Linked DNA regions of Nothobranchius furzeri. The protein of the gene in region 3 interacts with the protein of the main gene of each other region in a pairwise test. Links are inferred from orthologs where the notes say so. Each region holds a gene or a part of one and is shown on either strand. Other genes may lie near its edges.

Evidence for each region. The genes of interacting proteins can lie anywhere in the genome.
Region 1: the proteins of ndufaf3 (region 3) and ndufaf4 interact in binary tests that used the Homo sapiens proteins (3 or more experiments, as listed by UniProt). The two-hybrid records come from large-scale screens. The link is inferred for Nothobranchius furzeri from reciprocal best matches to the Homo sapiens genes NDUFAF3 and NDUFAF4.
Region 2: the proteins of ndufaf3 (region 3) and snrpa interact in binary tests that used the Homo sapiens proteins (3 or more experiments, as listed by UniProt). The two-hybrid records come from large-scale screens. The link is inferred for Nothobranchius furzeri from reciprocal best matches to the Homo sapiens genes NDUFAF3 and SNRPA.

Annotation. Positions count from the first base shown.
Region 1 is NC_091743.1:89,859,074-89,862,815, reverse strand, and holds ndufaf4 (NADH dehydrogenase [ubiquinone] 1 alpha subcomplex assembly factor 4), read right to left. Parts: upstream 2,228-3,742; 5' UTR 2,087-2,227; coding exon 1,951-2,086; intron 1,883-1,950; coding exon 1,794-1,882; intron 1,175-1,793; coding exon 869-1,174; 3' UTR 501-868; downstream 1-500. UniProt on the Homo sapiens protein: Involved in the assembly of mitochondrial NADH:ubiquinone oxidoreductase complex (complex I). May be involved in cell proliferation and survival of hormone-dependent tumor cells. May be a regulator of breast tumor cell invasion.
Region 2 is NC_091753.1:42,104,708-42,108,840, forward strand, and holds snrpa (U1 small nuclear ribonucleoprotein A), read right to left. Parts: upstream 2,639-4,133; 5' UTR 2,512-2,638; intron 2,202-2,511; 5' UTR 2,194-2,201; coding exon 2,118-2,193; intron 2,007-2,117; coding exon 1,834-2,006; intron 1,746-1,833; coding exon 1,587-1,745; intron 1,448-1,586; coding exon 1,283-1,447; intron 1,207-1,282; coding exon 1,118-1,206; intron 962-1,117; coding exon 802-961; 3' UTR 501-801; downstream 1-500. UniProt on the Homo sapiens protein: Component of the spliceosomal U1 snRNP, which is essential for recognition of the pre-mRNA 5' splice-site and the subsequent assembly of the spliceosome. U1 snRNP is the first snRNP to interact with pre-mRNA.
Region 3 is NC_091743.1:68,500,097-68,504,196, forward strand, and holds the start of ndufaf3 (NADH dehydrogenase [ubiquinone] 1 alpha subcomplex assembly factor 3), read left to right. Parts: upstream 1-1,270; 5' UTR 1,271-1,337; coding exon 1,338-1,426; intron 1,427-2,870; coding exon 2,871-3,066; intron 3,067-3,172; coding exon 3,173-3,239; intron 3,240-3,697; coding exon 3,698-3,798; intron 3,799-3,868; coding exon 3,869-3,970; 3' UTR 3,971-4,100. Other genes in the region: nckipsd (NCK-interacting protein with SH3 domain), read right to left, coding at 1-4, 500-670. UniProt on the Homo sapiens protein: Essential factor for the assembly of mitochondrial NADH:ubiquinone oxidoreductase complex (complex I).

The DNA of each region.
Region 1 (3,742 bases), about 21 Mb from region 3:
AGATATCGCAGCGATCTGTGACAGATTGGTACTTCTCTGTACTTCAGTGGGTTATTGTGTGTAAAGGAGGAGGAATGACGAGCAAACAGAATCAGCTGTTGAGCTGGAAGATGGGAAAAGGAGACCCGCAGCCGGAGTCTGACGCTAAAGCAAGGGTTTGACAAACGAAGCTCCTCCTTTGAGGACGGCGAGTTGGGTAGGGAACGGACACTGAAACAGTTTTTATCTTTTCACCTGTTCTGGTTAGCGGTCTGCTTTGGGAGGTGCGCTCATGACGCAGCGTGTCCTGCTGGAGAGACGTGGTGCCGTCTGCCTCACTGAGACCTCTCGCCGTAATGTGTGACATGAACAATCCTTTGCAACGGCCACAAATCACAGGTTTCCCCGGACCTTTCTTCCCGCTGTCGCCTGTGCTGTCCAGAATGGAAGTTTGTGTTTGAGGGATGCTTCAATCTACCCTTTCCTTTATTTAGTGGTTAATTTGACAAATTTGCATTTTATAATGAATCCAGTTTTTATTACGTTTCACTTTTTTATTTAGTCGGAGCCGGACCTGATGTTTGAATGTACAATCTGATGTTATAAAGGAAGCCGCTCCAGAGTGACACAAGAAGCTAAATCACAAACCGTTATTGTGAAGGGGACACACACAGGTTGAAACAGAAGAACCAGAGTGCTCTTCCAGCAGCAATGTAGAAGCTCCAACTAGCTTGTGTTAATACCAGCTTTTCTGAGCCTTCACATAGGTTAGGAACCTTCCATCGTTCCAAATTCCAACAAAACTCACAGGGAACACATGGAAAACCAAGTTCTTCTCCCAAAGCAAAACCCAGAAGTCTAAGAATAAGTGAGCAGGAAGACTCCAGTCCTAAGAAGCCTTAATCTGCCGTGCAGTTCCAGTCTTGGGAGGTATGATCTCCATCCTAAATGGGATGAAAAACTCTAGGAGAGCTCTGGTGTCTTTTAACTCGAGGGAATATTCCTGTGCGACCTTTTCAGGCGTCCAGGTTTGGGGCTGGTGCTGGTGACCTCCAAGGACCTTCAGAGCTTCTGGAAGGCTTAGTTTGCCTTTGGGAACATCTGTGAGCTCCACCAGGCCCAACGCATTTACTGGGAAGTTAACGCGGAGAGGCCTCCGCTCCACTTCCTCACCCACCGTCGCCTCCTTGGATGCCTGAGAGAAGTTCAAACACAAAATCAGAGGATGTTCCTTCATGTGTTTAAAACGCGAGCGTGAAAAGGTTTCGATCAGACCGCCAATGGGAAAGGCTTCGTGTTGGGTTCGCTGAAGCGTTATAAGCCCAACAAATACCCACTCCTTGTTTATTGTAACAGCGAACCCCTTACACTCTGTAAAACCACAGAAGATGTGTATCAGCATCAAATCAAAGATACTTTATTAATCCCAGAGGGATTCTCCCGCTCCTGATAATAACTTTTTGCTTTCCTTGACGTTGGATGTGCTACTACTAGTTTACCCGTTGTGTGTGTAGCGGTCGATACTGTTGTGTGAGGTCTGAAATGTAATGATGGCCAGCAATGGCACACTTCTGGAGCCAAGGCAGCTGACCAGGTGAAACCAGACCCAGCTGGGTCCTCCTTCTGGGCCGAGACAGTGATGGTGAGGGAGTTAATGGAAGCCAGTGGGCGGCTGTTTACTGACTGGTTTACACAGCTGATGATGTCGTGACCGAAAGCTGGTCTGAGGCACAGACCAGAGCTGATCCGGGTCTCTGACCTCTGACTTTAACGGTAACTACCGCAGCGGGGGGGGGGAACAGGTGAGCTCTGACCTCTGTAGAAGCGGGATCTCTGGACTCCACGTACACGGACCTGAGCAGGACCTGCAGGGACTCGCTCTTCTGTTTCACCGACTCCGTCACTGGGACACACAACACACCGTCATCCACCGCCCCTGACCCTGCCCGGTGCCCTCCCCCCGACACTCACCGTCAGGACTGGCCGCGGGAGGAGGAACATTCACCGCATGTCGGGGCGCTACCTTTGGCTTTTCCTTGGAAATTTCCCGAAGCGCCCGATTTTCCAGGTTGACATTTCGCAGCATTCGCCCGACCCGTGCCCCCATGGTGGATGACTTTAAACCACTTCCTGGTCTACGGCGAGCGACGAGGTTCTTTTGACAAAAAAAGTACCGCCGACAGCGCCCTCGCGCGGTTGGAGGACTCTGGGGTATTATGAATAATGAGGTAATAACGATGTGTGCAATACTGGAACCTCTTTTAGTCAGATACCTTCCTTTTGTGTCTTGAAAAAAGAGCTTAAGCTTTATTTGAAAACAATCTCCACCTCGAACAATAACAAAGCCATTAAGACACTAAGTCTCTGCTCAAAATTTCTAATCTTTCCATAATTCATACTCTGCTGCATGTCTCGTATTGTTTCCTGTTTCGATCATCATTCTCATATGTTTCATAATTTGTATGCAGTAACCCCTGGCGTTGAATCTGTTGGTATGTTTTTGTTATGTTTATACTGTTTCCATGTACTTCATAGTGGATATTGAGTCTTTTGTGCATATTGACTGTATTGTTAACGAACCAATATCCTAAATAAAAAATAAATAAATAAATAACCTCTTTTAGTCAGAAATGTCCATATTGTTGGGAACTTGTTTCCTTTTAAAGCTCAGGTCGTTTCAGCTGATGCTTTAATCACACAGAGTGAAGGTTTCCTCCATCGTGGCTGGACCACCAAATACCAAATAGAATATTTACTAAGACATCACAATAGAACTGTAGACACATTATTGTGTGTGTGTGTGTGTGTGTGTGTGTGTGTGTGTGTGTGTGTGTGTGTGTGTGTGTGTGTGTGTGTGTGTGTGTGTGTTCTCCATCCCCAGTGAGTCGTGAAGGATGGCTGCTTATACTGAGCCAGGATTCTCTGGAGGTTTCTTCCTGTTAAAAGGGAGTTTTCCTCTCCACTGTCGCTATATGCTTGCTTAGTATGAGGATTACTGTATAGTCACTGACACTAGTCAGTGACTCGATGCAACCTGCTGGGTTCCTTATATAGGAAACATTATTTCTGATTGGCTTAATGAACTGACCTGAATTGGAATGTTTACTATGTGAAGTGCCTTGAGACGACTCTTGTCGTGATTTGGCGCTATATAAATAAACTTGAATTGAATTGAATTGAATTGTGCTGCTGGTGACATCTTAACTGTTGGGAGTTGGTGGACATGTGACACATCAAAAGAACATCTAACATGTGGGGCAACAGTAGCTCAGGTGGTAGAGCGGGTTGTCTCATGATCAGAGGGTCATGGGTTCGATCCCTTGGGCAAGACACTTCACCCAACTTGCCTGTGTTAGTGGTGGTCAGAGGGGCCGACGGCGCCAAATGGCAGCCTCGCCTCTGTCAGACCTCCCCAGGGCGGCTGTGGCTACAAGTAGCTTACCATCACTAGCAGTGTGTGAATGTGAGAGTGTGTGAAAGCGTCTTTGGGTGTCTAGAAAAGCGCTATATAAGTTCAATGCATTATTATTATTATTATTATTATTATTATTATGTCTCTCTGATGGGCTCGGTCCCAATCCTATCCATCCTTCACTCCCAAAGAGAACCTCAACATCTTGAGCTCCACAACCTCCAATCCTATGATGTCCTCATGGACACTGTCTCTAAACCAAGCAACATGGCTGCTCTTACTAATGGCTTCTACACCTGAAACCTTTTTATCACAAATCACACCTGACACTTCTCTCCACCCTCTGTCCCT
Region 2 (4,133 bases), on a different chromosome or scaffold from region 3:
CCGGCACATCTTAGAAAGGCCTCCTCACTGGAAACTTTTAAATCATCTTTAAAGACCCACCTTTTTAGCTTGGCTTTCAACACGTTTTGGATTTCTATTTGATTTGTGTTTTATTTTAGTGTGCTTTTAACCTTACACTGTATTCTATTTTATGCTTTTATGTTTTTATGTTCAGCACTTTGGTCAGCGAGGGCTGTTTTTAAAGTGCTTTATAAACAAAGTTGGCTTGGCTTGATTAAGCAAATGCAACTCTAAACTCAATTCCTTTCTTTGACATTTCAGACAGGAAATGTTGAGTTATCCTTTATGCTCAAACCTGTTCACACACACACACACACACACACACACACACACACACACACACACACACACACACACACACACACACACACACACACACACACACACACACACACACACACACACACACACACACACACACACACACACACACACACACACACACACACACACACACAGCGAAAGAAAGAACAGTCTAGTGTTTTACCAATTCAAATTTTAATCAAGATAAAAAAAAAAGAATAGCTCCAGGTACAATGTCTGGTGGACCAGACACTGGGTGCAATGCTTTAACAGTTTATAATAAAAAATTTAAACTATGAAACAGAAAAACAGAGAAGTGGACACCAAGTTGCGCAAGCATTACAGATTAAAGCCAAACCATTGCACAAAGTTAGAGCTCCCAGTTTTTCACTCCAACTTTCTTAACAGCAACTTGACTCAGATACTTACATGTACGGACATGTATGCAAATTAAATCAGGACCTGGTGGAAGATGCGTTATTTCTTGGCAAAAGAAATCTTCATGGCGTTCGTCTGAGTGATCTTAAAGCCCTGCAGAGCATCTCGTGCCGCGCCAGCCTGCACCTCGTTTTCAAACTCCACAAAGGCGATGTCGTGACGACCAGGAACAAGACGCACCTCTTTGAAGCCGGGAAACCTTTAACGCACAGAGCAGCTCAGTTACAATTACAGAAAAAACAGTTTGAGAGAATTAAATTCTCAGATTATTTGCAATGTTAGCATCACAAAACAGTCAAAGTTGATCCATTTTTACGCATCTGTTTAAATGTATGACTAGAAAATGAGTACTGACTGGTTGAAGAGCATGGACAGCATGAGTTCGTTCGTCTCCTCTGGCAGGTTGGTGAGAAAGAGAATGTGGTTGGGTGGATTTTCTGAAACCTGTGGGAAGAGAGTAAGGATTAAACTACCAGGACAGGAAACAAAACGTTCTGTGAGGAAAAAGAACACAAGCTACCTGCTGAGGCATCTGTCCTGGCATCATCTGACCAGGAGCAATCCCACCAGGAGGAATCTGGCCTGGAGCCATCCCAGGAGGAGGCATCATTCCAGGAGGGGGCATGTAAGGTGGCTGGCCTGGAATGTGCATCATGCGAGGAGCCTGGTTCATTGGTGGCATTCCCTAAAGAATGACAAACGTTTAGTTTCTATTCATGTTAATTGAGCTTTTAACTCTTAATGCATCTAAAACCTGCCGTTACTTCACTAACAAATATCTAGATTGTTTAACCATGATTGTAAAAAACACCTAGTGCACTCACTGGGATTGCAGAAGGTACCCCAGCAATCGCTGCAGCATTTTTTTTACTTCCTGTAGATTCAGGTTTGGGCTTCTTCTTTTCTTTTTTACGGTCACGCTCCACAAAAGTCCCCTTCATCTTAGCTATAATATCCGAATCCATTTTAGAGTACTGGATTCGCTGCAAGAAAGTATATATTTGAGTCACACGTGTACTTCCATCAGAAATGTCTAAATTGTGCATTATTAAACATGTTTAATAGACGTACCATAGGTTTATCATAGAAAGGAAAACCCTGCATGGACCTTAATGCATTAGAAGCGCTGTTAATCTCTTTAAAGATAACGAACGCCTGACCCTTCATCTTCAGGTTTCGTGCGACCAAAATGTCCAAAATTTGCCCAAACTGAGAGAAGATGGCATAAAGGGACTTCTTCAGCTCTGAGGGAGACACACAAACAACAAATAATCAATAACAATAATAAAGGAGACTTTGCATTAATTGTGCGTGAAATAAACAAAGAAAAGGAAAGAAAATGATGCGAAACTCACCATCTTTCTTTATCTTCTCGTTTAGGTTGTTGATGTAGATCGTGTGATTGGGGCGCACCTCTGCTGGAGTGGTCATGTTTAAGGCTAGGAGAATAAATAAAATAGCTAAAAATAAAATAAAGACTCAAACATGTGCTTATTTTCACGCAGTTTCAAGTCCAATTTCATTCAAAAATCCAGCATCTAAACGCAATGGTAACAAACATGGCGGAAGGCAACAACAGCGTGTTAGCTAAAAGCTAACTAACAGCATTTAGCGTCATTAATCTGCCTAAATACTTCTACTAGTTCCAACGTTACCTCAAATCGTTTAAGCTTGTCAAAAATATTTTAAATCAACAGTTAAAATGCACTTAACCATGTAAAACGCGTTAGATGTTGACGTAGTACCAACCTGAAATTGAATGAAAGCTCCGAGACTTTTTTCCCCAGAAAACAAGAGGAAGAAATTCTTCTTCTTTGTCTTATTTGTTGGTTACCAAACCGTTCTGGTGAATTACCGCCACCACACGGTGTAAATCAAAATAGCGAAACTCAAAACACCATTTAACTTACAATGGCTAAAACTAAAATGGTTTTTCTTCTTATTTACGCTGCTCTGGGTGGCTGCATGTTGGAGTAGCTCTGTTAACTATATGTAAGTTTAGCCTTTTCTTGGACATTTTTTCTTCTAGTTTCTCAAGAAAAACGGTATTTTTTTGGACACTTTACTTTTCTGTTTCTGGTGCTGTGAAGCTTGGAGGACTTTTGCTGCTATTGTTTAGGTTTTTTCACTTTTTGAGCATTTGTTATGATGCGTAACCATGGCAACAAGCTGGTTTACAATCGGGAGCAGCTGTTTAACATTGAAAAGGCTGAAATAATACCTCAACTGACGCGACAAATCCCAAATTAACTAAAACGCAAGAAGCGTGGGTGCAGAGCGGGAGCAAAACGGAGACAGAGAAAGAGGAAATTCAAACCATCTCTCCCATCGATCATAATGGGCAATGTGAGATCACTGGCCAACAAGATGGAGGAACTCCAAGCCCTTTCAAGGACTCAGTCAGAGTTTCGGCACTTTCTGAACCACTGGAGGAGATAATGCAAAGAAGGATTCTCCAGAGAATCAAGAAAATTATGGACAACCGTGAGCATTCTCTTCACAAGACTGTCCGACAACGGAAGAGTGTCTTCAGTCAGAGGCTTCTTCAGTTTCGCTGCAACACTACTGGAGATCCTTCCTGCCAACAGCCATTGTAATATACAATAACTCTTTGATGACTTGATTATTATTATTATTCTGAGATACTACAGCAATCAGTTTCCCCCTGGGATTAATAAAGTATTTTTGAATTGAATTGAACAGTAAATCAGAAATACTGGAAAAACATGACGTCAAAAAAAGGCAGAGTAGACAACCTAAGAAGAATAACAGTAACTTTACAATAAGGTACGTAAAATTATGCTTCGTAACTAGGGAACGACTTAGGGAGTAATGAGTAATGAAGCAGGGAAGAATAGGTAGTTAACCAATACATACTGGTGAAAACCCAACAGTTTTATTCAGGGACTAATCTTTGAACGCATTAAGGAACAAATCCCAAATGAATGTAGTGCCTGTGGACTTTTTTTTTTTGTAAACTTCATGAACAATGCAGATAATTTGCAACATCACAGTGATTTAACATCACTGTTTCATCTTGACTTCACACGTCTGTCACTTTTTTGTCCATTGTCGGCATCCGTCCATCGCAAGATGATGGAAAGTGAAGCCTTCTCCCAACTTAGAAGGTACTAATCTGTACCTACTAGGTACTTAACCATTACCTACTGCTTTTGTCTAGCTTAAAGTGAAGCCTTCTCCCAAGTACCTACTGAGGAACAAATATGTTCCCTAGTAAAGCACAAAAACATACCTATTAGTCTCTGAATAAGACTGGGTGTTTACCAGTAAGTATTGGTTAACTACGTATTAGACCATGAAAAAAGACTGATGAGCGTTTTCACCAGTAACTACTGGTTAACTACCTATTC
Region 3 (4,100 bases):
GAGCCTGGCACAAACACATCGACAGAAGCTGAAGGGATGAAACATTCATTACTGTGGCAGCATGCAGGATTATTAAGTGTGTGACTGGGTCAAACTGGGACAAGCTGGGAAAAAATGGGACTGTGATCTAACAACACCCTACATTCAGGCTTAATTAAAGCTGCACAGACGGTGTTATCAAGTACAGGAGGGAGCTCTCTTCTTGTGACACAGCCTACAAGCTCTGACTAGTTCCTGCGATATAACCAGGGGTGTGACCACGAGGAGAGGAAAACAATGCTTTCTTGTCTCTGTTATCTGTTGCTGTCCCACCCTGTGTCCTCTCAGCAGCTTTTCGACCTGCAGCCTTTATAATAAATTAATGCATGCGATTTCCACCTGACTAGACAGCTTGCTCTTGGCCTGCCCTGCTGCAGACAGCACCACTCTCAGGGTTCCACTCCACGCCTCGCCTCTATTCACTAAATAGGCAAAAACGGGGGTTAAAAGTGAGTTTTACCTGAATCTTTTCGATGTAAGAAGCAGGGATGTAGCCGGTCTCCCCGGAGCTACAGCGGGACCCCAACCACCAGTGTTTGTTGCTTCTCTCCAGGATTAGAAAGCTCTCTCCGGCCGCGAAGTGCAGTGAGTTGGGCTCCACGGATCGGAAGGCGTACAGAGACCGATACATGATTTAGTTTATCTGTAACAAACCGAAAAGTGACACAGAAATAACCTGTTATGAAACAAAAACCGAATGAAAAGATCTGCTCCGCAGGGGTGATTTAAAGAGCCCATGAAGTCTACGGTGAGCGGCTCATGTCTATTTACAATGTAGCTCGGATCATCTGACCTGAGCGAGCGCTACCAGAACAGGCCACAGGGGGCACTGATACACCCTAAATACGCCTATCAGACAGTTTAATCAAACCCAGAGCTAAAATCTAATTTGATTGTGAAAAATGTGTAATACATTTATTTTCATTTGAAGTGGAAACATTTATGAAGTTACAATTAAATGATGTAAAATGTAAAAACATTTTACTTGACGATTAAAGTAAGGTTACGGTGTTGTACACACGCAGGGATAGAGATAGTTTTTCTTCCATCTTACATTTGCAGAAAGGATTTCAGCATTTTGAATCCTTGTAAATATGTTTCAATGTTACATTATTTGTTTCAGAAAGAGTTGAATTATATATGTATTAAATACACACACACACACACACACACACACACACACACACACACACACTGTTGGCGAGATAAGAAATGTTCGATTGTGCTGTGCATAGCACCGGAAGCAGCTGCCTTAATGGTGTCACAGAGAATTCCGTTCCCCTGTTATACTCGTCAACATGGCCACTGCGGTGTGCAGCAGGATGCTTTTCCAGAGGTCGACTCGAGGATTTCTGTCCTTTTCCAATACAATTCCTGCTTTCTCTTGGTAATTTAATTTTTTCAACAAAAGTATAGAAATCCTATTAGTTAAAAAAGAAAATAAGGTCAATTGCAGAGTTAAAAGTTGGTGTGATATTGAATTGAAAGTGTTATAAAGGTGATGTCTGTTTTGATAATTAGCCTTATTAAAGTTGTATAGCATTATTTTATAGTATTTAATAAAGTGTTTTAGTGTTTTTATTTCACTGAAGGTTTAAATTTCCCGCTTTATTGATGCTTTATGAATGTTCGTCGGTTCAATTTCCTTAGATTTACTTAAGGTTAGCCTCAAAATGGTTACTTATATCTAGGGTAATTTTCAGTTTTAGTTAGTATAATCATTTTCAGTCTAATTGCGCAGTTTAAAGTGTGTTGCTCAATCATTAAATCTTCATATATAATGTGGAAGTATTATTCAAAAGTCTTATGACTATTTTATAGCTCACATGTGTATGTTAATGAGATTTCCTTTACAGGAAGTGTGACTTGTGATACTTTGCAGAAGTGTTGCAGAATAGATGCAAACTGCTCTCCAGACAGCAAGAGTCCAGTAGGTTGCCGTAGTTACAGTTCAGACTTGAGCAGAACTTGTGATGAAGTTCATAATAAATAACAGGAAATGTATGTCTGAAGCAGATGTAAATGAGAAGCAGAAGATAGATGGACACAACATAACTAAAATGTTCCAGTACAAGTTAGGGAAAGTGTCCTTATTTGGTGAAAACTGAACTATTGACCTTTTATTGCTGATCAGAAAAGATGATAAACTGTTAAAGTGTGTAAAGGTGCAGAAGGAACACCCTTCTTTCAGTAGAGAATGACATTTGATGTTTAAATTCACTGACAGGACCTCCCTATGTGTGTGTGCTTGTGTAACTTTCAAATTAAAAGGCTGAGGGGGAAACTGAAAAATCATAACACATTACCAGGTTACTGCTCGTGTGCATCTCATCTCAGGCCAACCAAGATCTTGTGTGTGTACATGTTGATGCTTAAGGTGCAGGTCTCTTTTCAGGCTCACCTCAAAAGAATCAGGAGCAGAGTGAGAGAGGAATTTACTTAAAAGTAAAGAAGAATCTCACCGCAACAATTACTGGAAGTTTTGTTGAATGTTATGAAAAATAAAATGTGTTTACATATTCTAACAGACTAATTGGCTAATTTAGCTAATGTTGAAATTAAAAAGCATTGATTGTGTAATGTGATGTGTACAGTGTAAATTAAGCTTTTGGCTGAGGACCCCATCAGTAGGTGGTTTGGCAGATCTGCATTCCTCTGACTTTCTAAGAATATTAAAACTATGGAAGAATATACACACACTGGATTTATTCATTGTCCGTTACTTGTTTTTCAGTCTAGAAACAAGCTTTGCATCAAGTCACTGACAATAAACAACAGAATAAAGCCCATTTATTATTGTTTCTAATCTAGTTTTCTGTCTCTTTTTCCAGCCCATTTCTGTCTCGCGCTCACAGATTGGAACCTGGTGATGATGAGTTGTACCAGAAAACCACGGTGTCCATCATGAAGAAGGAGGCAGACAGTGGGATCATGATCCACAGCTACAGCCCCATAGGATTTACCGTAGATAGTAACCAGGTGCTCGGGCCCTGTGCTCTGCTGCCTCCTGCCATCCTGCAGTGGAACGTGAGGTTCATCTCCAGATGTTCTACACAGCTATTAGTGTGCCGCATCACATCATTCTGTTTACAAAAACTGATCAAGAGTTTGTTTTAACTGTCTGGTTCTGCAGGTTGGTAGTCACGAAGACATCACAGAGGAAAGCGTCTCTCTTTTCCACATGATTGCACCAACAATTGGTATGAATGAATGCACACTGATATAAAGATGTTTGTGTTTGGCCCGTTTTAATCTTCACTGGTCCAATTTCATCACCTCAAACTTGGGTTTTTTAGCTGCTTCATCTTTAAGAGAAAGGAATTAAAACAGGTTGTAGCTTGAATGATGCTGCAGCTTCCATGATGTATTATTGCTAGACCACAAAAACATGCAAACTCCTATAGAAGACCCCAGAAAGTATTTAAATGGTCCTTCTAGTGATCTAGTGAGAAAAGTAAAGGAATTCAGCCATTAATCTAATCCCTTCATGTTTTAATGATAGTATTGCAGGCTGCTATTTCTCATAGAAACTTGCGTCAATTGTATACTTTAGGTGACCATTCCTAGTATTTTCTACTCTTTATTCTGTCTGTGTGTTTATATGTAGCTAATCATTTAAACTTAAACACTTTTTAATGTTTCTTTCTGGTTTATGAAGAGATTCTTGTGCTGGGAACAGGAGCCCGGCTTGAGCGAATCAACCCCTTAGTTCTTGCCTTACTGAGGCGTAAAGGCATCGCTGTGGAGGTGCAGGACACGGTAAATATTTGTTCAGCCTTCATGACTCTCAAACCACAAATGTTTTTATTATTTAAACTTTTTTTTGCAGCCGAACGCATGTGCAACATTCAACTTTTTGATTAGTGAGCGAAGACTGGTCGCCGCTGGTCTGATTCCCCCGTCTCTGAGCAAAGCTCTGGATATTAAATGAGACTAAATGTGGTATTGTGAGAGTGAAAGCAGGACAGACTCACTTTGTTCCAAGGTCAGCCGGCAGAGGAGCTTCCAAATGTGTCCAGCTTTACCGAACATTGTTGCAGCAGCCGCCGTCTCTTACTGAC